4 linked regions of the Drosophila melanogaster genome follow. The protein of the gene in region 2 purifies or fractionates together with the protein of the main gene of each other region. This does not show direct contact. Each region holds a gene or a part of one and is shown on either strand. Other genes may lie near its edges.

Evidence for each region.
Region 1: the proteins of CG3795 (region 2) and CG7675 purify together in Drosophila melanogaster (affinity purification with mass spectrometry, with the first as the bait; one large-scale study listed by BioGRID). This does not show direct contact.
Region 3: the proteins of CG3795 (region 2) and CG15717 purify together in Drosophila melanogaster (affinity purification with mass spectrometry, with the first as the bait; one large-scale study listed by BioGRID). This does not show direct contact.
Region 4: the proteins of CG3795 (region 2) and CG11703 purify together in Drosophila melanogaster (affinity purification with mass spectrometry, with the first as the bait; one large-scale study listed by BioGRID). This does not show direct contact.

The regions. Positions count from the first base shown.
Region 1 is NT_033777.3:18,375,742-18,383,623, forward strand, and holds CG7675 (uncharacterized protein), read right to left. Parts: upstream 5,438-7,882; 5' UTR 5,291-5,437; intron 4,996-5,290; exon of another isoform or gene 4,878-4,995; intron 4,614-4,877; 5' UTR 4,613-4,613; coding exon 4,472-4,612; intron 3,624-4,471; coding exon 3,485-3,623; intron 3,227-3,484; coding exon 2,496-3,226; 3' UTR 2,383-2,495; downstream 1-2,382. Other genes in the region: CG14309 (uncharacterized protein), read right to left, coding at 6,208-7,882.
Region 2 is NC_004354.4:1,706,656-1,712,958, forward strand, and holds CG3795 (uncharacterized protein), read right to left. Parts: upstream 3,528-6,303; 5' UTR 3,482-3,527; coding exon 3,186-3,481; intron 3,121-3,185; coding exon 2,850-3,120; intron 2,785-2,849; coding exon 2,434-2,784; 3' UTR 2,151-2,433; downstream 1-2,150.
Region 3 is NC_004354.4:13,125,394-13,135,808, reverse strand, and holds CG15717 (uncharacterized protein), read right to left. Parts: upstream 6,792-10,415; 5' UTR 6,708-6,791; coding exon 6,621-6,707; intron 6,504-6,620; coding exon 5,832-6,503; 3' UTR 5,773-5,831; exon of another isoform or gene 5,519-5,772; intron 4,817-5,518; exon of another isoform or gene 4,631-4,816; 3' UTR 4,013-4,630; coding exon of another isoform or gene 3,838-4,012; intron 2,878-3,837; coding exon of another isoform or gene 1,373-2,877; 3' UTR 1,244-1,372; downstream 1-1,243. Other genes in the region: MFS10 (major facilitator superfamily transporter 10), read right to left, coding at 1,373-2,877, 3,838-4,012; CG32638 (uncharacterized protein), read left to right, coding at 7,511-7,558, 9,595-9,741.
Region 4 is NT_033777.3:19,224,561-19,230,624, reverse strand, and holds CG11703 (uncharacterized protein), read left to right. Parts: upstream 1-2,444; 5' UTR 2,445-2,517; coding exon 2,518-3,579; 3' UTR 3,580-3,722; downstream 3,723-6,064. Other genes in the region: Polr2M (RNA polymerase II subunit M), read right to left, coding at 1-140, 197-914, 982-1,127; CG5250 (uncharacterized protein), read left to right, coding at 1,398-2,333; vib (vibrator), read left to right, coding at 4,594-4,610.

The sequences.
Region 1 (7,882 bases), on a different chromosome or scaffold from region 2:
TCAATCAATCATCGCTTAACAGTCGGTTTTTAAGCCAAATTCTTCTTCAATATAGGATGTGAAAACACTCTTCCTAATTTCTTATCAATTTTTTTATTTACTAGGTTTACTGAGAGGATCCTTTAACTTGTAAATAACACTTCCCCAGTGATATAGACAACTGGCGTGGACTGTATGGTTTCTATGATATGACTTAGTAGGAACTGTAGAGTTTTGGAACTGGAGTGCATGAGACATCTGTGAGTGCAATTGGGCCGACAACCGACGCCCCCGCTCCCGAGGAGAGTATCGATGACCGCGTGACAGGCGCAGCCGTTGCCAGTTGACATTTGCTGGACAGGATGGGGAAGGACGAACCGCTGTCCTGACAGCTGGACGATTCGGCATCGGGATCGGGACTGTCGCATAACCCACTTCTTATTAAAAACCTAAGCCAGCTTATTAAATGCCCGCGACTTATTAAAAACCCAGGGGGAGAAGTAGATACAAGTACGGTCGAAGGACTCCCCCAAGAAAAGGAGACAACTACTTGAATTACAAACTGAACTTGGCCACAACAATGTCTTTTCGTCCTTCTGGATATGAGTACACTTGAGTGAAGCGCGCCAAATTGAATTTGTAAGGCGATACTTTCTGAAAAACAAAAACAAAAGGGGGTTTCGGTACCAGAAGGGTTCATTACCGGTATACTCGTATCTTATCAATAAAGTTGCTATTCTGGGTGACAGATACAAACCAATGCAGCAGTAAAAACGCACTCTTTGTTTGTTTTTTATTGGGGCATCACCTCCGCAAACAAATCCTGTGAAAAGTTCCGATCGATGATCTATTGGTTTCTCACAGTAGCGAATTAAGGGGCGTTTGGTCCTTCAATTATCTGCGGTGCCGCACGCTTCGCTATCTTTAATGCCATTTTGGTGAGCCGCAAATGATTATCCTGTAATCCTTTGGATAAATATTAAATTTCAATTACGCCATTTAACATATTATTAGCCACCGATCGGCACTATCATCATCATTGGGCAAGTCACGTGCCGTCGAGGAGCTGATAGCAATCTACGCAAAAGCGAACAACCGCAACCCTCCGTTTCTGCAGAAACAGGCGTGGTGACAGCCCGCAAAGGATGCGACTGCAATTTTATCAGATTATACATGTCGACGGAGTCCCCCGGGAGTCCTCCCGCCATCCACCCCCTTGGTCCTCCTCAACAGGTGAGCGAGTCCAACGAAACTTTGTGTGAGAATTTTTCGGCCTTTCCCCGATTCTGCTCCCCTCTCCATTTGTATCGGGTTACCTTGCCTCACCCGATTGGCGCTGTGATTTGTCGTTCTCGAGCATTCTCATGAAATTAATTTGAAACGGAGTATCCAGGATGGATATCAGTTGAATTAAAACAATTATTCCAGGATTCAGTTAATTTCTAGACCATACATAAAATTATTATTACATCAGCTTTTAACAGTAACTCCTGTTATAGCTTACAGAGGCTGTTAATTTTTAGGGTGAACCAGGTTTGCTTATTTGTAATTAATATTAAATAAGAAAAAAAGTAATCATGGGCGTGACAAAACGAAAGCAATTCACAAGACCAATAAAAATTGAGGTACTAAGATCTCGACGTTCGGATACGGATGATCCTGATCTAGAATATATCAACTTTATGTTACATATTTTTACAATTTTACTCTACGAGTAACGGGTAAAATGTAACCAGTAGTTGCATAATTCTTTCTGAAATATATGTGTATTAGGAGAGGGATGAATGGACGCTCATTACTTTTAGTAAAATGTCTTATAGAGCAAATTGGTTTATATTTTTTTTTTAACATATCTCAATACCTAGAAGAACTTTTTTAAAGATCATTTGACTAAGAAGCTGCAGCTACAAAATAAATAACGAGAAGCAATAAGTTGAAAAGTTCAAAACTTGTCAGAATTGTCATATCTAGTTACCTAGCAAAAGATTTATCGAGTGACTGTCAATATATATTACATGTAATACAAAAACGGTCCCCTTGCAAATCCAAGCCGAAATCCTGTGCCAATAAGAAGTCGAGTTCCCCGACTAACAGATACCCGTTGCTCAGTTAGTGTGAATGCGCTGTGTCTATGTATCTAGAATCTGTATGCTGCATCACAACCTTCTAGCTTTTAAAGTTCCTGAGATCTCGACATTCAGACGGACAGAGGAACATGGCCAGATCGACTCGGCTATTGATCTTGATCCAGACTATATTCTAGTCTTGATTCTAGTATACCCTTTTACTCACGAGCAACCGATATAACAACCAAGATCTTTGTAATATATTATATATAGTCAGAAATTTGATGTGCTTTTTTTTCTGACAGCAAATATATCATATTGAAAACGAGCCACATTTAATTATACAAAATCATTTTTATTGAGAAAACTTAGGCTACAGTAAACTCCCCCTTAAAAACAAGAAAAGTAAATCAGTAAATTGTGCGTTGGCTCTCAGCCGCAGACACCCGTCTAGATTTTGGGATCCTGGGGCGTAAGCTTGACAATCTTCACGGACTCCTCCCAGATCTTGAGACCCTTCTCCTCATCGAGGGCAGCAGCATTAAGGGTGGCCTCCTTGCAGTCCATGAAGTACTTTCCAGACACATTGGCCACCTCATTGGATGTGGCCAAATAGATAGTGGTCTGGGCGCCGGCCTTGGTGGTCTTGAAGAATCCCTTGGTGATGGCCATCATGGGCAAGTTGAGGGGGAAGGGAACGTTACGCCAAATGCCCGAGTCGATCATGCCGGGATGCAGGAAATTCACTGTAACCTTGGTGCCCTCCAGCCGCTTGGCCAGCTCCCGGGCAAAGTAGATGTTCGCAAACTTGGACACATAGTATAAGTAGGCAGCCGGGAAAGTGCCGATGGGATTGAGCTTGGCCAGGTTAACCGACGACAGGCGGTACAGCTCCGAGGCTACGATGACTATGCGAGCCGGCGCGCTCTTCTTTAGTACATCGATGAGCAGATGCGTCAGCAGGAAGGGTCCATAGTGATTGGTGGCCATGGTCAGCTCCACGCCATCCTCACTCGTCTGTCCGCGGAAGGCCAGAGCCATGCCGGCATTGTGGATAAGCACATCGATCTTGGGCTCGGTCTTCACAATGTCAGCGGCGAACTCACGGACGGACTTCTGGGAGCCCAGATCCAGTTTCTTGACTAGGATCTTGTTGTTCTTCGTCTCCTTGACGATCTCATCTGTGGGAAATCAACAATAAATTACAAAATTCGGTTATGTAAAAAAAAACATGGTTAATGCAACGCCAACATATTATAAGATACTTTCTTTAAAGTAATTACAACGTAAATATTTAATAAAAAAAGATCATTGGTAGTAAGCAGTTTTTGCCAGAGTCTATAATCAACTGGATGAGACCAGTTATCGGAATTTGACCGTGTTGCATGTCCTGCCAGATCCTTGGCATAACCTCATAGGCATTGTCTTGGTCCACTTACCCTTCACTGCATTGGCAGTCTCCAGGTTCCTGCAGGCCATGATGATGCGGGCTCCACGTCCAGCCAGATCCTTGGCCGTCTCCTTGCCAATTCCGCTGTTGGCGCCTGTGATAATGACTGTCTTGCCCTCCATCTTTGTCTGTAATCAATGTCGAAGGTTAATCATTTAATACGGCGCTGCAATCGAAAATTGGACGAGGGCGGTTCGAAAATATGTTTACAATACTAATTAGTTGGCGCTTGTTCACAGTCACAGTAATCGCAGTTCGTCTGGAACGGAAGCTATCTTAGTTTTCAGACCCATTAACGGGTCGCTTAATTGCCATTCGAGTGCTGAGAGCTTTCTGTGAATCAGAGGTAAGCGATCTCACAGATTGTAACCGAGATACCCAGAAGCTTAGATGTTTTGTGGGATACGAACAATGTTCGGTCAGGTGGTAATCGTAGCTCAGAGATGTGACGTACCTCGCCTCTCAGAAGGTATCTAATTTAATCTGTAATTAAGTCGACGCGTCACAACTGACCAATGTAATAACAAGATTGAAACACGTTAAGTTTTCCTAGTGGTGATTTCATATATAGTTAAAAGATTTCCATAGTCGGAATGCTTGGAATGCTACAGAATCGTTTTAATTATATGGGGTTTTTCCAGATAGTGATATATGTAGTTTTCTATAGAGCGGTAAGCTGAACCATTTTCAATTATGGATCTGTAATGTTTATCTGAATAGTTCGCATTTATATGAATATATAAAATTTGTAAAAGTTTTGAGCGATTAATAAGCTTAAGGTCGTGTCCGAATACTGTTTTAGTAAACTATCCCACCATCATTTGTATGTATATGACAGCTCATCTACAAGATCTGAAAAGAATTCGCAGCGGAAGTGGGAGCAACAGCCATATAAAGTGCGAAATATTCGAGTCGTGTCGCGATTCTGGGGAGCATGGGACTTGGTTTTTTGGATTGGGTGAGGTGCGTTCGTTACCTCGGTGAAACATCGTCCCGCCGTGATGCGCAGATAGAACCGAATGCTCATCAGGGTGGCCACTATGGCGGCCACTGAAGTCATGAGGAAGATGTCGCGCACATAGTGCTCGGTCGACAGCCAACCGAAGATGAAACCCATCCTACAAATATGCCGAGGTGTGTATACTATATATTGTATCTTCATATACGTATATATCGGTGTCAACATGCAAATCAGATTATATAATAACCGAAGCTGCCAAAGCCAGACGATTGTCTTAGGGCATAACGAAACGAGTTTGGTTTTGGGTTTTGGGGTTTCATGGTTTTGGGGATATTGGTTAGTCGGCGAAGGTTTTCACAATTCAAATCGTTTATCAGTGACTGTCAATAAATCAATTTCGAAAACTGTTGAGAAAACTTACACTTTCACTTTCACACATGTGCGTAATTATGGCTTATTATGATGAAACGCCGAAAAAAATAACATTCAACCAAGTTCATTGACAGCCCAAACGAAAGAAGGTTGAACAAGAAAGAAAGTCTGAAGTTTCATGTCGTTTTGAGTTTCTGGTTTTTTCTTCTCTGTTTGTTTTTTTTTTCCCCCACCGTCCACGTCACAAAGATTTCCAAGAGCTTTCCTCAAGACTCGAAGACTGGCTCTGGTTACGCTTGCATGCACCATTTAAGAACCCCCCCAACCGAACCACGCCCTACAATGCAGTCTCGAAAAGAAACAAGATCTATAGATGTATGAAAAAGTCTAGAAGTGACCCGTTTTTGGGTTTTGTTCCTCAACTTTTGCCAGTCGGAGACGAGTTTTTTAGTGCAAACTCACCTGTTTTGGCTGTTGGCTGATCTATAATTTATTCCAACTTCTGCTGACCTGCACTTTGGACTATATCTGCGCTGCGAAATGGAATTGGTGGATCCAAGAGCTAGTGCCACAACCTTCGCCTTGAACGACTAATCGGAGACTGAAGTCGGAATTCCGATTATAAAGCCGAGGCTGCGGAGAATGCGCGATCGTCTCCACCGGTTTGGTATTGCCGTGGTCGCGGTGATTTTGTTATTGCACTTATAGCCATGGTAACAGGTTAGCCAAGCGGCTTTCCGGGCTCCTCTTTGGGATCGTCTTCATGAACGGTTCACTCGCAGCGAAAGAGCGAGCACAGAGTGGAGCCAAACTATAATACATAGTTACCAGCGGTAAGAGAAAGATCTGGGTAGTGGATTCCAAGAAAGTGTGTCTAGAAAGCCACCTGTCGGGGGCTTCGCAAAGCTTCTTTTCTAGTTATGCAGCTCGAATGATGAGCTTGAAATAATGTAGAAAATAATAATGGATAGTAATTAACTTTTTTAATGACCAAGACTTTATTACTATTTGAAGTACTACGGGTAATTGTATAAACATGTCAGATAAAAATCTATTTTATTTTTCATTTCATATATCATTAACCGAGATACCACTGAAATATATCAACATTCTTTTCAATTCAATGCATTTTATTATAGAGATGACATATTCACAAGTACAATAAAGAATGCTCAACAATCTACCACAAGCTTAGTCTAAGCCCGTCTAGTTCGTTGCCTTAGTCCTGTATATAGCTTTATTTGAAAAATATAATTCCCTTAGAATTATCGCTCAAATATAATTCCTTTGAATGCAGTAATGTTTGAAAATAAATATATATTTACATTCGGTTATAATGCTGGCAGTTTAAACAAGGTCATATGGTAATATAAGTCATTCTACTTCTCAATGCTGTTTTGTCGGCGGGGTGGTTGGGTTTCCGCATCCGTTTCCAAGTGCTTGGTTAAGGTGTTGTACCATTCGTTCATATGGTTGGATATGATGTTGATGAAGCGAGATACCTTTGATTTCATAGTGCTCACGAGGCTTTCGGAGAGTTTAGTCAGACTACGACCAGAGGCCAGCGAATTCTTGCTGCTGATCCTCATGATCTTGGATTCCTTTTCCTCCCTGGGCTGGCTGGCATCCTTCTCTGCCTCGTGATCCATCTTGTACTCGTAGTAGGTGTACCTTCCCAGCGGCATCATCTCATCGCGATCTGCCTTGTCTATGGCATTGGAGGGCAGTTCAGCCAGGGAATTAGTGTTAAGTACGGCACGCCGCCTTCTCATAGCTGGTAAATCCCACCAGGAAGTGATACCCTCATCGGCTGGCTTTTGAGGCAATTTCGAATGAAGAGTAGGCGTTGCCTTCTTTCCCTCAAAATGATCCTGTATGAGGGACTTCCTACCGACATTCGCCGACTCCAGGGAACTTTCCCGCATGCCCTCATCTCCTAGAGAAAACTCGTGTTCATGCTCGTTGATGTGGCTGAGGAAATGCTTTCCAAGCTCTTTTTGGGCCTGCAAAAAGTCGTTGGCCACGTGACCTAGCCTGGAGTGACGCCTTCTAGCACTTGGCACCGGTTGCACATCCTCCTCGGGCTCGGACTCTTCAACAGACTTGGGTTTTTGGGACAGACTAGCCTTGGCCATGGTGGCCTTGCTGGAGAAGGGTTCCGGAAATAGCAGTGAGTTCAAGGTGGCTCCCAGATTTAATCGCTTGTTCTGCTTGGGAGCTGGTAGGGCCTCAAAGAATTCCGTGGGCAGTAGACGCAACTTGGGACGCCCTTCTGTTTGCTCCGGTTCCTGCTCCTGTTCATCCTCTTTGTCCTCCCTTTGAATGATCTTTAGCTGACTCTTGGACTTGGTCCTGCGCTTTTTGGGTACCTCCCGCTCAAGTTCCTCTTCGTTTTCCACCTCCCCATCCACAGTCTCAATGTGCTTCAGGTGGACATCACCCTCTGGAAGCCGTGTGTAAGTGGGTATTTCCTCGGATTTCTCTCCAATGCGCTTGAAGAACTTCTCCTCATCGAATTCATCGAAGTCGAAAAGGGGCTTATTCTTCTTTTCCGGCTTCCGGATCTCAGTAATCTTCTTCGTCAATGCTGTCTTCTTACCCTGGCGATTGTAGAAGAAGGGCCCGGAATAGCTGGATGTGTCGCGTCTCTCCCGCTTTTTGCCCATGTCACGGGTGTGCTCGAGCACTTGATACAGCCAGGCCAGAGCTTTATGAGGCTTAATAGCCTGTTCTTTGGACTTGTTCACTTCATCACCCACATCCCTCTTCAGCGGACCGTCATCCTTGAAATGGTCCAGTAGTCGATCTAGTAGGGTCTGTGACGTTTCCTCCTTATCAACGACAAATCTCCGATTGCGATTAATAGAACTCTGAACCGAGCCTCGGGCAACTGCAGTTTCCTCGATCAATCGTTGGAGTAACCGATCGGCGGAACTATAGCGGAATGATCGGCGCTTCTCCTTGGAGGACTCCCCACTCGAATCGCCTGCCTCGATCTCCGTGAACTGGCAGTGTTCCAGATTGACATCGGGCAGCACCCAGAAACTCACCGCC
Region 2 (6,303 bases):
GGCAAGGCTGGAGGGGAGCATTGGCAGGTCTGGCAGTGGAGCTAATAAAAGGCTCGTTACAATGAAAACAAATCAAATCGCAGGCCAAGCCATCATCCGTTCGACCAAAGCGAATCCCAGCGAAAATGAAACACGGCTAACGAATGCCACCGCCAAACAGGAAGTAGTTTGAATTTCCGGTGTCATTGGGAGCCCCCTTTCCACTAGAACATCCCGCCATCCCAACATCCCGACGTCCCGACATCCCAACATCCCAACATCCCACATCCACACATCAGGCGCTGCTTTCCGCCTAAATGTTGAAATTGATTACCGTAGTGGGATGAGCTGCTCGTGGCGAAGCCTTTGGGAGAATGATGAGTGACTGGGAGGTTGGGTTAGCCAGGCGGTTTTCGGGGATCAGCTCAGCCTCACTTTGCAATGCCATTAAAATGTATTTACAAACGCAAATTGATAGTGATTTCGGTGGGCTCCGCTCGGCCGGGATGGGTCTGGGACGCGTGTCCTGCTCCTGGCTGCTTGAATGGTGGTCCCGTTGGTAATGGTGGTCCTGGTGGATCGACTGCGGTCGACGTGTTGGCGTTGCAGCTTAGCCGTCGATTTGTCAGAAGGCGCGAGTCCCTCTGCGCGGTGACTAACCCGCTTGTGCGACTCGGATTCGGATTCGGACTCCGTCCGGCAGTGCACCGCGTCCAGGTGGGTCGGAGTTGAACCACCAGGCTGGTGAGCTTGGAAGAAATGCCAAGATGAACTAAATTGTGGTTAAGATCGAGACTATTCAGTCCGGAGCTTCTTCTGCCCACTCGATGACACCCATCCCATTCTTAGCTCACTTCGGGGTCACCTCTGCGCACTGGATTCACTACGGATGGCGCTCCGCAATCAGACAACTACGATGTCAAGTTTAACTGCAATTATTCTCAAATGAACTTCCCTTGAAATGCAATTTAAGGCATGTGTCTAATATATGCAAACAATTTACGGCCGGGGGCGCAAAAACAGCAGCAGCAGAGCGGGCCAGGACATTCCAGGGACAATACAGGACAGGACAGGACAGGACAGGAACATGTGGACATGTGGGGCAAGGGACACAACAATGCTGAATCAATATGCAGAAGAACGAGGGCGCTGACGAGCCAACTTGGCAAACAAGAAGCGTGACAAAATGATAAAGTGTCGACTCCGCCACGAGGCCAAGAAAACAACAACTTGTTGTGCAGGATGGGTATGGGTATGAGAATGGGGATGGAGATGGGAATGGCTGGTAACGGAGGCCCAGGCCGGGCAGGACGCAGGAGCAGAGTGGAGCAGAGCCGTGGCAAAGTGAGCAATAAACATACGCGATTAAATTCATTATGAACACTCGAACGGCACACAATACGACTGTGAAATGACAAACCTGATTGCGAATGTCTGAATGTCTGTAAGCATGTCTCTGGTGTGGTCTTGTATGGCATGGTATGGTATGGTCTGGTCTGGTCTGGTTTGGTCTGGTCTGGTCTGGCCTGGCCTCTGGGCGAGATGGTGTAGTCAGCTGGGGCTTGTCCCTCGGAGTCCCACATCAATTCAGCATTGTTTTGTCGTCTGGCGGCGAGCCTGAACGGGTCCTAGCTACTCTGAGAACGGGACACGTTCGTGACTTGTGTGGCTGAGGACTCCACCACCGTCTCCAGCTTCTGGCTTCTGGCTCCTGGCTTTTCCCACGTACTTTCTGTGCCAGTGATTGGAGTGTGCGTGTGCGATTACTAATTGCATTGCTGATATTAAATCAACATGCTTCCGCACTGATTTCTAACCGAGATTCGTTCGGTGCACGGGCTTGGGACATGGGCCATGGTCACCTGGCATCCAGAAGGCCACACGATATCAGGAGCAGTCCCAAACCCGTTGGCAGACAATTGGCTGCCCCTAATTGGTCTAATCAACAGTTGGCGAGTGCCCAAACTAACCAACGCGAATTGTTGCATATTGTCTTCGCTGCCAGATGCGTATGCCCTGTGGCCGGTTACCGGGCGGGGGAAAGAGTCCTCGGCGGTGATGCGATAATTGCTGTCACAAACAGTGGATGTGGATCTGCATCAGCATCTGCTTAACCATAAACCGTGCGCCCACCCAGCGGCAAGTGCGTTTGTGTGCACGTGTGCGCGGGTAATGGCGCGGCATGCACCACAATTCGCCATTCACCATTCGCCATGGCCTCGTTTGGCCATCGCCTTTGCTGCCTGCCTTCACATCCGCATCCCCATTCCCATTCCCATTCCCATACACATCCACATTCACATCCATGGATGACAGGTCATGCCCGCTGGTTTTAGTCAATTTTGGTTTGTCGTATGCAGGCTCGGAGGTTTGCAGGCTGGCAGGTTAACTAGTTGTACCAGCCGGCTAACCGACCAGCACCGCCCGTGGAACGAATCGCGGAGCAGGCGGGCGCTAGGATATCCCAGTGAGCAGGAGCAGCAGCAGCAGAAACAGCGTCCACACGGACCGTGTGCCTAGGGGGCAGGAGTTCTCGGTGATCCAATCCCGGAAGTGGTAGACATCGGTGTAGATCCCAGCCGAATCAGGCTCGCCGCAACCCATTCCGAAGGACACGATGCCCGTCACCATGTTGTCACAGATGAGGGGCCCGCCCGAGTCGCCCTGGCAGCTGTCCACATCGGAGTCGTGCTTGTCATTGGCGCAGAGCATGCCAGCGTTGGACCAGCCCAGCAGCTTCTCGCAGAAGGTGTCCGGCAGGATCTGCATATCGCCGTTGATGGCCTCATCTGGCAGTGGTCCGAACTGCGGAAGGGGATGGGAGCTTAAGGACTCGAAGTTCCACAAGTTACTCGGTAATCGATGCTCACCTGAATGACCGTGCCCCAGCCGACGATGGAGCACGGGGCCCCGGCCACCGGAACCTTGTTGTACAGAGGTATTTTGGCAACGGCATCACCCAGACTGAGATCCGCCTCCAACAGAATCAATCCTATGTCGTACTTCTGCGACTTGCCCTTCTTGTACTTGGGATGCGGCAATAGCTCCTCGGCCTCAATAATCTGTGTTGTACTGCTCTTGAGCAGCCTCCTTGGCGTCCCGGCAACGACCATCAACTTCTTGGCCTTCAGCTTTCGCCGACTGGTGGAGTCCACTGATCAGCACTGATCCCCATAAACACACACACTGCACCTGCCGCTACTCACTTGCTGAACATGCAATGGGCCGCCGTGAGAATGGCCCGCTCGCTGAAGATCGTTCCCGCGCAAAAGTGGTTATCGCCGAAGAACTTCTTCGGCTTGCCCATGCGCAGCGAAACCGTGTACTTGACCAGGTCGTTGGTATCCGGTCGATAGCCACCAGTGACCAGGAACTGAAAGTCCGATGGTCGGTCCTGCCTCTGACTGGGCGCCGAATGCAGCTGGCCCGCCTGTGATTCCGAGTTCGAATTGGCGCTTACGGAAATCAGCAGTATGTAGACAACAAATTTTGACGGACACATTTCTAATCGTTTTCCAATAGAAATCTGACACTAAAGTGACTTACATGTGTACATATGTACATATAGGAGTATTATTTTTCGATGAAATGGGGGCCAGAAGCAGAGGCCGGGAAATGGACGCACTGTCGCTGGAAGATAGCGTTTGGCAGCCATCTGATAGCTGATGAAAAAGTCTCCTTCATAAATAACTGGCTATCACAAGTGTGCGTGTGGAGTGTGTGGAGTGTGGGGAGTGTGGAGCAACAGGAAGCGTTTTTTCCTTTATCCCGGCTGCGAACTGCAGTCGCTAGAGTCAAGTCAGCCCGGCCGAAACGGAGCCCCACGACCATGTGCTTATGTACATGTGTACTTTTCGCAGGCAAGTCGAGTTTTTCCCCTGCACACTAAGTAGTTGGTTGTTTCATGTCACTTAGGGATGCCTCCCTCCGAGAGTCCTGTGTGGCGGGCACTCGGCGGCCTGGGGTGAAGGTGTCGACCGGGTCGTTATCATTAATTTGCAGCCTGCTTTTTGCAATAATTTACAAGACGCTCCCCTACTCCGCTTAGCCTTGGCCACCCCCCAACCCAGTTCACCATGGAACCCTTCTGTGGTGGATGGTTCGAGTAGTCAGTCGAGCAGCAGGCGACCTTAAGAACTCCGAGCAGCGAGCACACTGGTGCCGTGCCACTAGCACGTAGCACTTGGGCATATTTAAAGCTAAGTAACCAATTTCCTTCCATCCAACTTGGGTTTGGGCCCAGTGTGCGCTAACTTCCGGCTGCCTTGGCCAAGTTTTTAAGTTGACTTGTCATTTCGCCCGCTTACTAAAGACAAATTTGTGCGGCAGAACAAAAAATGGTGCCCATTTCTCACCCTGCGACCCACTTCTTCAGACCACTTCCCACTGCCCACTTCGCGCCTGCGAGTGGAGCTTGGAGCTTGGAGCTCGAGGATGTAGGCGAACTCGAGTCGGCTCCACATTTTTACTCGGCAATTAAAAGCCCCGACAAAGTGCACTGCGTGCGTGTGTGTGTGTGAGCAAGAAATGGCAAAACACCGAAATTTATTCGATGAGCAGTTGGCGGCAAATCTGAATCGGATTTCGAGACGAGGAGGGAGCAGGAGTAGCAGCTGCACAAGTTCCCCAGGAGCCCGGTTGGGTGGTGATGGTCGGGGGAAGGCAGCTGGGAGCAGTTGTCACCGGCCAAACAATTATGGCACCTGAATGCCCTCAGATAGCAGACCGCCAGACAAGCCACACAGACGTGCACAGACATGCAGAGACGTGCGGAGACTTGCACGGACATGGGCGGGCATGCAGGAGTGTGCTCTTCGTATTACTTATCGCCACAGACGATGCCGAGCATTGATTATTGTTGCCTTTTGCAGTTTTAACTAAAACGCACTCGGTCGTGGAGCTGTGAAGTTGCGGAGCAACTGCATCCAGCGCTGTGCTATGGTAATCGTAATCCCCTTGGCCATCCACACACCCCTTTCCCCCTGCATTTGTTTGCATACATTGATTGAATTTGTTTACGCCATTAAATTTGCAAATTGCTATCGGCAATTTTGCATAAACTGCAGTGTAAGACTTTACCGCACAACTCTACCGCCCCACCGCCAATGCTCCATTGTCCGTGGCCCGTCCGTGTCGGTGGCTTCGGCAAGGACAAGGCCAGCGCCGTCCATGCCAACCCTCGTGTGAGTCTGGCGTACGAGTCATTAACTATTCATATGGCAGACCGAGCAGCAGGACCAGCAAACCAACAAAGCAGCAGGCAGCACGGGGCAGAGCCACTTGATGACACATTTGATTCCGCCTGTCAACGGCCGACAGCCATTGCAAGTCCGGGTTAGTCCGGGGTAATTGTCGCCACTTCAGTATTCAGTATCCAGTATCCAGTATGCAAAATCCAGTATCCAGTATCCAGTGTACAGTGTCCAAGCAACAGACTGCAGACTCCGGAATCCAAAATCCGGAATCCGGACTGAGGACTTTGGCTGTTAGCTGTTAGCTGTCAACTAAAAGCCCTCAGCCAGAGCGAGCCTTGTGCAAGGATTCGGGACTCAGCCGGATGAAGCTAAGTGGGCTTGATATCCGGTTGACCTTCGTCTGATTCGCATTTAACAGGCATAAACAGTGCTTAAGCCGCCGCGAACCGGGGAGTCGGGGAACTGGAGTGGAGCGGAGGGGAGCGGAGTGGAGTGGAGTGGAGTGGATGAGCGGTGCATGGGAAATGGAAATTGAAATTATACCACCCGCGGGGAACTTTTGCACAGTGATATAGCCCCGGGCTGGGAAATCGAACTGCGGATGGCTTAAAGACTTCATGTGCGAGAATTTAAAAACCGATTCGGTTCGGCTTGGTGCGATGATGATGATGATGATGGTGATGATCAGGTAGGTGGCAGTGGGCCAGGAGGGCGATATATTTACATTAGCCCGGCAACCCACTTTAACTTGTGTGGCCCCTCAAATTTATGATAAAAGTTGTGGGTCACGCGAGGAGGAGCTGTGGCCCAGCACTCGATATTTCAGTATTTCTCATTTCGAACTCCATTCGGGTCAGGCGCTGAAGGTCAGCGATGTCGTACTGGATGCCGTGGTTCTGGAACCATCCGATCTCTCCATTTGATTCGACCATTAGCTCAACTTGGAGGCCCATCCCGAGCATCCCGGGCATCCCGGCATCCCGGGCATCTTGGCTGCTGCAAATTACTTTTCCGCTCGAAAGGAGCAGAGTAATGAGCATAATCCTAATTATCCCTGTCATCATTTCGCTTCGGCCAGAGTCGCATGGCCATCTCTGTGGCCGCTCTCTGTGGCCGCTGTGATGTGCCT
Region 3 (10,415 bases), about 11 Mb from region 2:
GTAACAGAGGCGCCAAAATATTTTCACTTAAATTTGGCGGCTATGTTTTTATGGCCCCTGCGAAGTTCACGGGGGAACTCAGATCGCTGAGCGGGGGGAGGAAAAAGCGGAAGGGGGCGGGAGGGGGCTATGGATTGTTATGCAATGGGGAGAAAATTGACAATAAGACAAAGCGCAAAATACAAACAAAACAGCGTGAGAGACTGCGACATAAAAACTGCAAAGTCACTTAACCATTATTAATGCCCCCATATTTTTAAGGGGAGGCAAGTAATTTTTTGGGGGGGGCAGGTGTGTATGGTGGCCAAGGGGGCGTGGCAGCCCAGCCAGAGACGCCTCACGTCAACGGACGGACAGATTTACGGACGGACAGGGGCCAAAACTATGCCACGATAATCACGACGAAACCGAAAACTGAAATCATAAACGAAAACTGAGGCTGCGACAAAATCTCGGATGCATATTGTTTAAATGAACTTATTTAGAAAATTAACATTTAACATTGTAACATTTAAACCTACGAAAAGTTACTAAAAGAACCAAAGACAGAGCTTTATCGAAGGTATTCTATTCGTATTTCTAAATCATAATATAAGAAACCTTTAAAATTAAGATTTAAAGCTGTAAAATGAAGAAGGTATTGTATTGCTTTAATCTTTCTTAATTATATATTATCGTTTCTACGCACAAACATTTTACTACCAAAGTATTACTCACTATTTTGAGATACTTTTTATACACCCCATTTATGTTTTAGGCATAATTTGACATGAACACTTCGCCCCTGAAATTATGCAACATTTTTACAGCCTTCAAAAACATGAAAAGCCTAAAAGTGTTTTAAAAATCCAAGACTCTAGTAGCTGCATAAAATAAATAACCCATCAAATCATAATTCTCCAATGAAGAGGTATTACTTAGTCGGATACACGAAAACCACCTGCCAGTTAAAGAATAAAATGCTTAAATCAGGTGCCACAGTTCGATATGTTTGTGCTGTTTATTTCGACAGATCTACGTGCCTTCGAGCGTGTATATGATAGATATATAAATATATATGTATATATATATATAGTTGGTATTGGTATAATTGTTTACAAAAAAAAGACGCCTAGCAAAACAAAAGTCCATATAAAAGGACGATACACGTATATAATACACTAAAACAGTTAACATCCTTTCGATTTTCCATTCCGATTTGGTAGCACTAGTTTCGTTCGTTTCGTTTTTTTTTTTTCTTTTTGGAAGCCACATTCTTGTCCTGCATCCGGAAAACTTCGAGCCCAAATACATATGTAGGATATATGTGTATATATCGGAATTATCACAAATGCTTATGATCTAGCTAAAATAGCGTATAGTTAGGCTTGCTTCAAGCGCGCTGGGATCGTGAGTTGCGTGTGGGTGGTGTCTTCGACCAGCTTTGCTCCTCGGCGCTGGCGAAGATCAGGTAGATGAAGTTACCGGCTATATTCAAGCCCGCCGCCAGCCAGAAGACCAGATGCCACTGTGTCAGAGTCTCGCGATGATTGATGATTAGACCGATGACATACGGAGCCAGGAAGCCACAGATATTTGCCGCCGAATTGGTGATGCCATACATGGTGCCTGCATATCGTGGACTGAGCGCTATGTGATTCATCTGGTTGCCAGCATAGACGGCGCCGCCGAAAGAGCCCACGCCGGCCAACATAAAGGTGACCCACACCCAATCGCAGCCCACATAGATGATGCCAATCAGGCCCAGTGATGGCACCACGGAGGCCACCGTGTTCCACAACTTATACGAGTTCAGCAGCGATATGTAGCGTCTGGCTAGCATCCAATCCGCCAGGGCGGAGCAGGCAATGCCCACGAACCAGGAGGTTAGATACGGCACCGCATTGAGCAGAGCATTCGACTGGATGTCAAAGTGTAGGATGTTGCTCATGTAGGTGGGCAGCTCGGTTAGCTGCGTGTAGAAGGCCCATCCCTGGCCGCATTGCGTCAACAAGATGGCCCACAGAGGTACGGATGTGAGCAGCGATGACCAGGGTATCGGTTCCTCCGGCGGCGCCCGCAGACTCACTTCATCCTGTCCCTCCTCTTCCTCGGCCTCCGCTAGATCCTGATTTATTAGCCTCTGAACCTGTAGACTCCTTTCGATATACTCTCGCTCCGATTCTGAGATCCTGGGATGATCGCTAGGCTTGTCGTACACCAAATACATCCATGCGATGAACCACAGAATGCCCAACAGTCCGAAGATGTAGAAAGCCGACGGCCAGCCACCCAGGAAGTCCAGCGAGCACAGCCATCCGGCCAGCGGCATGGAAATGACTGTTCCGATATTGGAGCCCGCATAGACGATTGCGGCGAACTTGTTCCTCTCCAGCGGCGGTATCCAGTGGGCAAGCATGGCGTGCATAGCTGGATAGGTGACGCCCTCGCCCATTCCCTCCAGGATGCGGACCAGGACCAACAGCGGCAGATCCCAGTGGGCAGCCAATGGAGTTATAAGCGTAAAGACCGCCGTGATCAACACTCCATAGCCGTAGATCTTCTTCCCACCATACAGCTCGGCCATCCGTCCGCCGGGCACTTGGGTTAGCACATAGCCATAGAAGAAACTGCCGAGCACCAATCCCTGCGTGGCCTCGTCCCACACAAACTCGCCCTCCTTCTGCGGATTGGGATCGCTACCATTGTGATGTGGTGCCGGTAGTGGACACGTGTCCGTATCAATCACCGATGAGTTGCTGTGCGGAATTGCCGTTTGGTTCACCATGGCCACAATGGCCACCGACAGATTGACCCGCATCGCGTAGACCACGGCGAATCCCAGGAAGCCCATGAATCCGAAAATGTGACGCGTCTTTGGGCCACAGCCATGGTTTTCTGCAGGGTGGAGAGAGGAGAGAGTGGATGGTTAGTAAGCTATGGTTTAGGAGGCGTAATAACGATATCAGTTCCGGTTTTACTTAAAAGTTCTCGCCGTTCTCGATAAGGCCCAATGTTACACTGAAAATCCCTAAATACCATTCAATGTGTTATCATTGCATAGTTTAAATTGCCTCAATTTCTTCACTTTTTTATTCCTTTAGAAATGTTTACATGAGATGCCATTGCCAGTGAATTTAATTTCTTTTCAGATACTTGTTCATAGGAATCGCTCAAGTATAAAATCTAAAATAAAAATATTACGATCTGATACCATCGAAAAAGTTATCGGCCCTCCGTTCCATTTGAAATGCAGATTTGTACTGTTCTATAAAGTTCAGAAAAACTTCGCTTCATATCAGTAAATGTAAACAAGTCGTAATTTCGGCCCTTGGCGAATAAATTATACATAGGCATAGGCTGTTAACTGGATAACTGGATAGTATTACGTGAAAATTAAAATTTATGCGTAATTATTAGGTTATTTTATATTATATGTATGTTATGTTATATGTATAAAAACATTTTAATTATTTTTATTAGTTATTGAAATCTATAAGCCATATAATATCTTACTTTAAGATTAAATGAGAATTATTATAAATTGAAAGATACAATTTTAGAGTGTCTTGGATATACGTAAAATGAAATTTGTTTACAACAAAAAGTATCTTTGCGTTGAGTACTGTTTTTTTTTACACAGATATTCCGAGAGTTTATGTTTAATAAAAGTACTGACCCAGGACATATGTATGTACAATACATAAATGCAAATCAATATGAAGCAGAAATAGCACTAAAGATTTAAATAAATAAAGGTATCTTGAGCTTGTAATACGCATATCTACGTTGCTCCACCTACATATGCTATAGCTAGGTAAATATCTTTCCCCATCTGTGTATCTTGTAGCTACTCACCCTCCGCAGCGCCGCTGGAGCGGATTAGCGGTCGTTCGCCGGAGCAAAACGCCTCCCGTTCGTCGTCCGCTTCGTCGTCGGAGCGCTCCGCCGAGGCGGATGAATTGGAGGAGGTGGATGGATCGTAGTAACAGGAGGCGTCCCGCGACTCGTCCGTCCATTTGTGCGGTGGCATCGTGGCGCTCTATTTGGTTTCGTGGATTCCGATTGGAGATGTTGGTGCTTGGCGGTCTGTGCTTTTCGAGCGTCTTTTGAGCGTTTGGAACTGCAACTGCCAACGCATTTTCTCTGCCGGAGCGGCAGCTGTAGTGTAGTTATTGTATTTGTATCGCCAGCGGTGGCGGAAGCGGTTTGCTTGTCCACCAAAATCAAGAGCCGTGTGAGCGGGAGCGGGAACGGGAGCGGCAACGCGAGCGGACACCTCACCACGCCAGCGGGAACCAGCGCAGACTGACGGACTGGCAAATGGCAACGGGCAACGGACAGCGCAACAACAAACCTAAGCAAAAGGCAGCGCCAGCAAACGTAGCTTCTAACCACAAGAGGGGTAACAGTGGCGTAGTTGTGGGGTGGCGAGCCAAAATCACAGAGGGGATTCCTCGAGTGAGAAGAGTAAATACTTTCTGGCGATAGAATGATGGCGTAGTTCTTTGGGAATTTCAGTCATTGTTTAGTTGCCCCTTTTGCTGCGCCACTGCGTTTGGAGTCACCACAGCTCGCTCCCTCTCTAATGGCTGGCTCTGTGGCGTTCTCGCTCTCTCCCGTGTGAAAGTGGAGCATGAATGGTGCGGCGCTACGTCACAGAAGGGGATGCAAGAACGAAAGAGAGTGGGTGAGAGAGAGAGCATTAGAGAGGGCCAAAGAGAAAGGGGGTGATGTGCGAGAAGAGAAGAGAGTGCAGTGTGAATTGTATTGTTGTGAACTAACTTAAGTATACTATCTTTGTTTAGTTACAGTTAGTTTACACACACACACAAACTATAAACGGCGATATGGTATATTTGCCAGCACTGAAAAATTACTATTTGTAAGAAAATAAAAACAATAAAACAAAACTAATTTCCAGATAGTCGAAATCAAAAAGGGAATTTGTACTAAAATCTTGAGAATAAAAACAACGAGGAGAGAAAGGCAAAGTATACTTTAGTTGCCAACACAAATACACGCACACTCAAACAACTCAGGCTAACACAATAGCTACGTTTAAGTAGCCAAGCTCTTTTAATGTATGTAAGTCAATTCAAGCAGGCTCTAGTTAGAGAACAAAAGAAATGAGCAAAAACCTAAATTCCACACATAGTATGTACATTTCTACATCTGGAAATTTTTCCATATTTGTTGTCCGTTTACAATGAAATAGATAAGATAAAGGGTTAAGTTGATCGATCGCTGCGTAGCTCGCACAAAACAAAATGTTCTTTTAAAAATTTTCATTGAAATCATTACCAGTTTATCAGTTAAATGGTTCATTTACTTCATAGTATGTTAAGTTTACTAAAATGAGCGCTATTATTTTGGCCCCAAGTGTATGAGTGTGCCCTTCAACTGCTTCCATTTAAACTGCTTTGCAGGATTTCTATTTCTGGAGCAGCACTTGCGCATGTCCTGAAAAAATGCCTGTTGCATGCAGAGATTCGTGGACCTACCCCAAATTCCCACAGATGCATAAAAGTTGGCTGATGATTTTTCAGTGGACAATTATTGACAGAGTATCAAAAAAACAATTCAGACTCAAGGACCTTTTCGCAATACAATTGGAATATTATGATGGTTGCAAAATCAGATAATTTCTAAGTTAAGCCACATTAAATGCTAGTTGTTTGACATAACTCCTAATTTAGTTCGATATAATTCCAATTGAACTGTCGAAAAGGATGCCCCAAGCTACATGTAAAATGCTTAGAGAGGTATTTTAAAGTATGGCTTAAAAAGCACCTGGATGTAATTCCTTCCGGATGTGATTCGTCGCCGTCGAAGTCCAGAACTGTCACTCTTCAGTTGCCGAAGATGGTGCCCACGGGAAAGACGACGATCCTCCGTTTGCCGCTCACCACCAGCGATTCATAGTGATAGTTCTTGGCCAGCAGAACATCGTTGCGGTCGGCAGCAAAGGATTCCCAGATGGGATCCAAGTCCGGATTGAAGCAATTAATGGCCACAATATCGCTCGGTAGTCGTGGTATCAGTTCGTAGGCGCAGCCCAGCTTCTCATTCCACAGACTAACTTGGCCGTAAGGTAGGGGATCCCTTTTGGCCAACTGGCCGGCCTCCTTGGCTGTGCGGAATGTGTGCACCGTCACCACTCCCGTCGCTCCATTGCCCAGATAGCTGTGCACGCAGTCGTACACCAAGACGGGTGATTCCCCAGCCTTAAGGCTTTCGCCTTGTACTGTCTTGGCCTTCAGCTCTTCGATCTTGGCCAGCGTGCTGGTGTAGCTCGGATGCTTGGACACCTCCTGCGACAACGGACGCAAATCCTGCGCCACTAGGCCCACAAACTGATCGGCAATGCTCTCCTGGAGTAGCAACGTGGCCACCGATCCCTCGGCAAAGGGATTCTGCAGGGACTGGAGCAACTGGTGGCGCGCTGAGTGCAGATCACCGTCCTCGAAGACGACCATCAGCTGGGGGGAGCGCCACTGGGGTGCACTGGGAATCAGCGCCAACTGCAAGTAGATACATTTTTGAATTTAACATATGTATGTAGGTGCTCCGATAATCTCACTGAGACACAATCCGTGTGCCAAGGAGATCAAGGTTATGTCCGATATTGTCTGACTGACCTTCGTTTCCTGCGCCGTCGGCTGCAGCTGGTTGACCATGTAGCTGGTGATCCTGGACGGCTGGGACTGGGTGAAGTTGCTGGCCATGCTCTGCGAATTGAAAACTTGAATTCAATGGAATCGCCCGATCAGCTGCGTTATCAGCGGCTCACGCAAACATACACACACGCACATAAACAGACACACACGCACACACACATTCACATGCAGAGAAGGAAGATCGCTGATAAACTAAAATACCAGTTATTGGTATTATTCAGTATTTAACACGGCCTGTCGCATTTTATAGCTACGGTCACACCGAAATAATAACTGGCATGTATAAGCGGAACAGCGACCGGTCACATTGGCCCACACATCACAATTTTAATTTAAATTGCAATTGGTCGTGTTGCTGCGCTGACGCCTTCCAGCGTATAAAAGAAAATAACACTTTTGCCCCCGGCTAGCTAATAGTTGTTGACATCACTCGTTATTCGCCGTTCATTGTTGACGCCCCCGTGCAAAGGCAGCAACAACAACAGCGATTGCCAAATATTGCAGCAGCAACAACAAGAACATTTGGAGAACGAAAGAAGACCAACAAGTGCGCGCACACACACACACACGCACAGACGCACACAGATACACTCATACAGTGAAGCTATTGCGCTTTTAGCACCAATTGAAAGTGAATTGCAAGTGAAAATAGACGCAAAGTGGAACGATTTCAGCAAATTGTTGCACACGAAAATAACAAAACAGCTGTGCGACTCATTTTTTTTTGTGTTTTATTGTTGTTGTTGTCTGCGCCGCGTGTGGCAGCAGCAGGAGTGGGAGTGAGAGAGCGGTAGCCGCTGCAATAACTGCATTTGAGTGCGAGCGAGAAGGAGCAGGAGAGCGACATCATCATGACCGACCTCAACGAGCTGATGGGATCCCCTTTTGTGCGTGTGAAGGTAAGCAAGCAGTGCATGCGATGCGGGAGACGAGATGCCGCTATTGCACTGCACTGGCCAGCAAGCAGTGCACTGCACTCACCCCCCTCATCTTATCCAACAAACAATTGCAGCCATAAAAATAGCAATGGGCGACTAGGAAAACTCATAACTCATGACAAAAAAAAAAAAACAAAGAAACAGATAAAAATTCTGAATAAATGAAAAAGTCTCATTTAAATTAGGGGAAAGAATAAACAGGGTAAATAGATAACATATGGTACAGCTGCGGTCAAAATATTAACAGCAGGGCGGTTCAACTGGCTGGGTGGCACACATAAACAGAAGAAACAGATAAAGAATTTTACGGAAGCGGTCAAAAAATTAAACTGGGCGTATGAAACATACGTGTTTGTTTTTTAAGGAATAAAAGCCATGAAAAGTAGATAAAAACTTTTTTTGGAAATTTACTTACATGTGTTTGGATGCTTATTTTGCATTCAAAGTGGATATAGCTACATATACATACATATATCGGCAAATATAAATTACTTGTTGTAGAACGAAAATAAGTAAATTAATGCCATCGTTATATGTATAAGTAAAAAATACACATAAATGACATTGTATGTACAGCTGGACTAATGCAACTTGTGTGGGCGAAATAAAACTGCTTGAGCGAAATTTACAGCTTACGGGAAAACCTTATAAACTAATTACATCGTTTCACTAAAAACATTTTCCAATTGTGCAGTTTTCTGTCCAAGAATAAATATTGTTATTTCTATCATAATACAATCCGTTTTTTTTACCATAACATTATAAATAATGGTCCAAATATAAAATGAGATGCCTCGTTGTGTTCGTTATTAAATACCAAATCGAACTGTATTCAAAAATTTCCTTAATTCTTCGATGAAAATGATAGGGAACGTTAGCCTTGGTAATTTGCTGCTCAAAACAGTTATTTTTTCATCTATATAACAATTTTTAGCGTATTTATGACAAAAATTCCATTTGTAAATATTACGTTTTTGGCAAAAGCTGTTTTTCCGAATTTATGTGATCAAAAAATCCGTTTTTTTGCCACAACTTTCAAATTAATTGCCTGAATATGAAATGTCATACCTCAATGAGCTCGTAATTAAATTTCCAATTAAACTGTGTCCAAATATAAGAATTCTATTTTTTCGCCATTTTTTGCAAATTTTGATGATGTTACCCCTTACAAAAAAATGCGAAAATTGACCCAAAAATTAATTTTTCTAAATCCTTCAAAAAATGATTGGCGTCGTTAGTATTGGTAAATAGCTGCTCAAAAAGGTAATTCTTTTATCTATATGACAAATTTTAGAGAAGTTATGACGAAAAGTTCCGTTTGTAAAATCACTTTTTTGGCAAAACCCGTTTTTTTCGAATTTCGGTCAATAAATAATCCGTTTTTTTTACCACAACTTTTAAAATAATTGTCTGAATATGGAATGTTATACCTCGTTGAGCTCGTAATTTAATTTCCAATCCAACTTTGTTCAAAAATAAGGATTCTATTTTTTCGCGATTTTTTTGCAAATTTTGATGATGTTACCCCTTACAAAAAATGCAAAAAATTGACCCAAAAATTAATTTCCCTAAATCCTTCAAAAAGTGATGGGAATCGTTAGCAATGATAAATAGCTGCTCAAAACAGTTTAATTTGTACAAATTGCACAATTTTTGGCCAAGTTATCTTAAAAAAACTGAAAAGATACCTATTGCGGTTAACGCTGCTGTACGACTCTCACTTGTTGGGCCTCCATGGGTTAATGGCCAGTCGCTGTGTGATTAGCACCCCAAGTAGTTAACCGCAAATGACAACCGATACGATGCTAGTAACTACAATTGGCAACTTCGCCGCCAGATTCGTGGGGCTTCACTTGGCACTAAACCGCTTATGATTATGCTTATGTGTTAACCAGATATGACCATATAACCATATATAACCAAATGTAGTTTGTAGTAGTTCTCCCTTTGCATTTTCTCATTTTCCCCTTTGCTTCTACATTACATATATCTTACAGCTTGTGGCCTTTGTGCACTTCTTCTTCATCTCGAATGCCATGCTTGGCAGTTGGGGCCACGGGGCGTATGAATTCTACAACTTTCTATTCCTGATCGCCATGTTCTGGTCGATGCACAGCAAGGACTCCGTCGAAGCGATTCAAACGGTGAGTGCGATCGATTGATAAGTGCCAGATTTGATATTCCCAATTGAGAAGACTCTTCAATTAATTCGTTTAATTTGCTCGCCATACCCTGCAAATGAGGGTATCACAACTGTGACAAGCAATCTATTAAAATTGGTTTACAAAGTATAGCTAAGACTTCTTAAAGAACGCTTACAAAAAGTGATATATAATTCATAGCATAGTTTACATATATAGTTTACTTAAGTAGCAGTGCGATTGCATTCGTAGTCACGCCTTTAGTTACGTATAGCTTTCCATTCATCGCTTTCTGTGAGTCATTAAAGTATTGTTGATAGGATTGTTATACAGATAAGTATGTTTATAGTGCAGTGTGTTCACTGCGTTCATCCAATTAATTCAATATAGACGAATAGCATTTCCCTTTGGAGTCCACTGCTGACTGAGGCTTTAATCAACTGCTAGACGACTCACAGCGATATCACCACGGAATTTGTTAAATCGTTCAAAACCGGTTGTTCAAAAAAAAAAAATCGCCAGTAGGCAATTAGCATACACATGCAAAATATAAATAACAAATGTTCTCACTAAAATAGTTCGACGAACATCAGGTGCCAGCGAGGAAATCAAGATTAAAACAATAAAAACAATGATTGATTCGTATGATGATGATGCACTCAATGAATTTATGCAAG
Region 4 (6,064 bases), on a different chromosome or scaffold from region 2:
ATGAGAAAAGTGTCTTGGGGATCACGGTAGTTGCGGAAGGATTCCTTGGTTTTCACAATCGATTCCTCGGGCAGGCCAAGTCGGAGTCGAGAGTCTTTAAGCCTGGCCAGCCGCTGTTCAGCCTGCTGAATGCGAACCTCCTACAAATAAAGTGTATTTAGCATCGAATTATGTAGACCATAAGCAATGAAATTACCTTTACTCTTTGCATGTAATCAATCTGTAACGCAGCCGACTCAGCCAATGGCACCAACTGGGCCTCTTTGTGCTGGATGAGTGGCGGAGTTGCTGCCGTTATTTCCCAATGCTTGCCCTTTTTGCGCACGCGCTCCTTGTCGGGATTGTGGACATTGGACTTGGTGGTTCGGAATGGCATAAACTTTTCCCTAGGAGTATTCACATTTGTTTCCGTCTTATCGATGAGGTAGAGGGCATGCTGATCGGGAGGCAGCTCCCTGCTCAGCTTTGCGGCCACTTGACTGGCGTCGATTTCTACGATCTCGGCAGGAAGGGAACTGGTGTCACTATGTCCTGCCAAGGCGGAATCTGGGGAGTCGGTTGGTTTCTTAAACTCCTCGATATCCGCCAGATCATCTGCCGTAATGAAACTCGTTGGCGGAGGCAAAACCTTGACCTTCTTCTCGTGCATTGTTCCCTGCGCTATAATCCGCAGCGGATCCATCTCCACCTCATCATCGCTGTCCAGAATGTCGTCCACATGGGCGCCCTCGTCCGTGTTTCTGCCATTCCACTCCAGATTGTTGAGAGCAATTTTGCCCTTTTCGACAATGTTGAGACCGCTCAACATTCGAGTCGCTTCCTCTACTTCATCCCGCCTCCTGATCTCGGCCAGTAATTTGTCGTACGACTCCTGCAGACGCTTTCCCTTGTCCGGCAGTTGGTGCAAACGCTTTCTAAATAGAGATAAAATTAAATAAGATAAATTCACAGGGAACTCCACAGGTGGAAACTAAAACTCACTTGAACGACAGAAAGTGAGACTGCCTGTCCTTAATCTCCAGCAGCTGCGGATAGGTAAGGGTCTTCAGGTCCTTGCTGTGCTTCTCCTTCGCCTGGCTGGTGCCCGGGATACGGCTAAGCGGAGCAGGAATCACATTATCGCCCATTTTGGCTCACTTATTTTGCTCATAAGCTTAGTATGACCGTGCTGTGGTTGCGATAAAATACTTAGTGCTGCTACGAAGCAAAGGGCTACAGGAGTTCACTTAACGCCTATCGTTATCGACAAAAAGGCGCGTTATTCAAAAATATACATTAGTGCTTCTGATTTCTGTGCGGAATACATTCCTATATTTCTAATCCACCCCAAGCTAGCTTTCTGAAATCCCTCATATATTTCCATAAGATATAATTAAGTACCCATATATTATTATTCCATGCCTAACGACGCGATAATCTATTCTGGTCCCTACGAATTGGGACGCCTTCGCCGGCGTCGTGATATGCGTGTGGCGGAGTACCTCTACAGGCGTTCCATTCGCACACGCAATGCGGATCCCGAGATGACCGTGTGCCGTTTTATCAAACTGCTGCTCTACTTCATCGGATTCTTTTTCGTTTTGGGCGTATTCACAACCGGATTGGCCCTCGTGATGATTGCGAATCATATATATCCGGATAGGCCGGGATGCAAAAAGTTCCCCGGACTAGCAACCGCACCCGGACACCATGTCGGTGATCAGAAGCAAATTATGTGGAGCCCTAATAACATTAAGGATGTGGCTAACATACAACGCGCGATAATGCGAACGGTGAAACGATACGGTCTCGAAGGCCCGAAGCGCCTGATGGGCTGTAACATAGACGACAGTTGGGGCTATATGTCCGGCACGCCGTGCATTCTAATAAAGATCACCCAGGCATTGGGCTTCCAGGCGGTAACCTACGATGACGCCCTAACGCTGCCCGAGTACGCTCCGGATGAGCTATTCGACTATGTGGTGGGCCTGGGCTCGGAGGAGCGCTTCAACCGCATCTGGGTGTCCTGCCAGGTTATTGAGCCAAGAGTGGACATTCAGTTCGACTACCATCCGGTTCGCTTCTTCGATGCCGAAGAGCTCTTCACCTCCGGCAATGTCTTTCTCAACGAGTCTTCGGACGACGACGGACCTACTTACAAGGAGGATCCCCGCCTCAGGCGCATCATCAGTGTTCGGTTGAGCAACATTCCGATCAACGAGGACATCCAAATCCACTGCAAGGCGTGGGCTAAGAACATACCGCTCCATATGGTAACGGTCAAGATGCTGGTGCGTCTGACGGCACCAGTTCATCCAACCACTCCATTGGTGCTGGACGAGTGGTACGAGTGAGATCAGCTAACTCAGCTGGATTTATTAATGTATTAATAAATACTTAACAAAATAATAAAACTATTTGAGAATTATAGTTTACTCCGCTTTAGATTTCATAGTGAACCGAAGCTACAAGCTTCGAATATTTCCCACTTACGCCCACGTAACCAGTAGCCAAATCAGAACCGGAACGATCGCCACGATGCCGGAGGACGTAATGGTGCCCGCTGGGGACTACAAGCTGGTCAAGCAGATACGCCGGAACCAGGAGACACGTCGCAAGAAGGACCTGCCGTGGTCGAAGAGGATATTCGACATAGACGAGCACAAATTGTTCGGACGCACAGCTCTGGGTTGGATGCGTATCACTGGCTTCTACCTGGTACTATACGCCCTAATCGTGTGCATTGTGGCCTTTTGGTTGGGCATCTTTATGCTGGCCATCATTGATCCGAATAAGCCGCGCTGGCTCAAGGGTCCGCCGGGTCTGTCGATGGTGCCCAACCAGAATCGATCCGTGCTGGCCTACTTTACGCACATCATGAGTGAGGTCAATCCGATTGCGGACCGCATCGACGATTTCCTGAACAAATTGAACGACAATGCCATTGACTTCTTCGCCGATTTCAACCAGGACACTACGTGGGGCTACGCCACCGAAAAGCCGACCGTCTTCATCAAGCTGAACAAGGTTATTGGCTATGTGCCGGAGACCTACGACACGCCAGATGACTTGCCCAAGGAGGCGCCAGCGAGCCTTCAGGACACCGTGGGCAAGCTGGGCAACACGCCCAAGATTTGGATCACCTGCGAGGTGACCAATGGGCCCAAGCCCGAAATGGTCTTCTATCCGGGTCCATATTTCGAGGCCTCCGAGAACATGAGAGGAGTGACGCGCGTGGTGGCCATCCAGATGAACAAGATGCCCGAGAATGCGAAGACCTTCTTCAGCTGCAAGGTGTGGGCCCGAAACATACCCATCGACGATGACTACCAGGGCATGGGAATTATCAAGTTCGCGCTGAGCATGCGCACCGATGATGACGGCAATCCGGATTTCGAAAGGCCCTCCACTCGTAAGGCACCCCGCGAAATAGATCTCGAATCCGAAGAGCTCGTTCCCGAACCGCCATCTCCAAATCGACCAGAAAGTATGCTCGGAGGATTAGAATTGCCGCCACCGCCAGAGGATGAGAAGGACGCACTAGACGCAATGGGAAATGATGCCAAGAAGGAGGAAATGACGGAGCCACCAAGCTTATAAGAATTGGAATCTATTACTACTATTATTACCATTTGGAATTCTAGACAAAATTTGCTTATGTGCAAATTACCTATCTGTGTAGGTGTTCTTTAGGTTATTTAATTTCGAATAAGAATTGGGGGTAACCCACATTTTCACATTTCAAAAACCTATTAAATCTTGTTTCTGTTCTTGTTTTTCATATAATCAAATGATAAATGATAACTGATGATCTTTGATCTTATAGATTTATATATAATTTTATTATAACTATATTATATTCATTAACTTTTTATAATAATTTTAACAGCATGAGTCACCCTAACAAGCTGCGCACACCTAGATAACCCGCTTGTGCTATCGATAGTCGGCGACGGGCAGCGCCCACCACCAAGTGTGACCAAGGGGCATCGCCGAAATCGATAGCATCCGCCTATCGGAATCGAAGTGTTTTGCACGAACATCGAACTTTAGCTCCGCTCCGGACACGCAGTAGCTAAATAACAAACTCATTACTAGTATATTACTGCCGCCGATTTGCAAACGCGTACCGATCCCGATACCAGGCCAATCGCACTCCCCAGTTGTACGTCATCACTTAAGTAATAAATCAGCGGCAAATCGCATAAATTGCTATTGATATTCCGCCCGCTGTGTGTGCGTGTGTATTTGCAAGAGAGTGTGTGTGTGCATATGACTCGTGCGTTTAGCCGACAATTGGAGAAAAAGCATTAGAATCCCAATTGGCTAACTAAACTAAAGTTGGCTTGGCCAAACATAAACAAAAAGTGCGGGCGCAGCGATTTGGCAGCGAAACAAAAACACCAAAGTGTTATTGGCAGATATATATGTAAATTAAATATAGAAAGTGCGTGCGAAGGTTAAGCGTAGAGTGCAAGTGCATTTATATTTGGAAATAATAAATGCTACAATTTAGTTGAAATCCGCCAGCGAATTCGCATTAAATCTAATTCTGTATTTTGTACTCTCTCGCAGCGAATCAAGCAGGAAAATACCGGATAATAATTGGCAAAGATGCAGATCAAAGAATTGTGAGTACAAAACTGTATGTTTTTACCATTTACCTGTGATTATTTGATGTTTAAATCGCAAAAAAAAATCTGGGCAAGCCGCAAATTATTTGTGACAAATCGATTTTACACTCTCTTCGTGACATTCGCTCTCTCCATTTCTCTCTGGTCGCGTGTGTTGCTGCTCTCTCAGTTCTCTCAGTAGTTGCTTTTGTTGTATTTAAGTTTGCGGGCATTTTCCGCAACAACAACAGAACCGTTTTCTTATCAGCCCCCTGACGCCCCCTTTTCCGCACACCCCCTCTCTTTCCATCTCGCTCTATCTCAGGTATTTTGCAGCTGTGGCGATGACGTAATGAGTTTAAGTCACATTTTGGAGCTACGTAAGCCAAAACTTACTTCTTATAACCAATGCCACTGCTAATTAGTTTTGGAAACTCCTTTGAATCATCGATAATCTATACTATATACGTAAAGATAATGCTTTTTAGGCGCTCGGCGACGCCACGTTGTCGACTTTTTCAGTGAGTCACTCTCTTTTGCGCCTCTCTTTTCCCATTACTCTCTTTTCGGCTTTGGGCCCTGCGATTTTAATCAAACAAGTTGTTAAGTGCGATAAGGTCGTTGCGTTAACCCCACTAAACTGACTCATCGTGCATCTTTAATCCTTTTCGGTCGCAAAGCACCAGGTGACATTCTTCTCATACATTCTTCTCATTTGCAAATGGCTCACGTTTGCCACCCTCACATTCCCATTTTGGCAATGATACTTTTAATTTATTAACGGAAATTGTCAAAAGTCTGACATCAAATGGCTCGGCTTATAATTGCTTTGACTTTGACAGCTGTCGGAAAATCAAGGAAAATCCGAGCGGCTTGCATACAGGAGATTGAAACTGAAAGCTCAAACACACAATCTCGGTCTTATCATTTTTCGTATGCGCAATCATTCGCATCAATCTTATAATGGAAACTCAATTGTATATAAACAGCACCTTTTACTGATAGGTGTTAAGTGTATCGGTTTTGTAAGCTATTAATTCTCATACGATCGGTTTCTGGCTTAAAGTACACAGAAATCGATTTCTACTTTTGTGTTGCTAAGCTTGTATTGTATAGCTTATTTTTAATTACATATCATTTAAGAATATTATTGCAACAAAAACATAGGTATATCATTAATCATAAAGAAGAAATGATATGGAAAAATTTTAAAATGGAAAATTTTTAAAAGCTAGCGAAAAATCCGTGGCATTTGGTAGTTCATTACAGCGTTCGTTCACAGAAATGTACACAATTCCTATTTAGATTACCCATAAAATGTATTTATATCATTAATATTTATCATATGGTGTACGATATGTATTCAAGTGTGCAACGACCAAAAAGTAAACTAAAGCTCATGAAGTATAGGTGAAAATATACTTCTGCCGGTCTTTAAATAATATACATTTCTGGGAACGTTTTGTATTGCT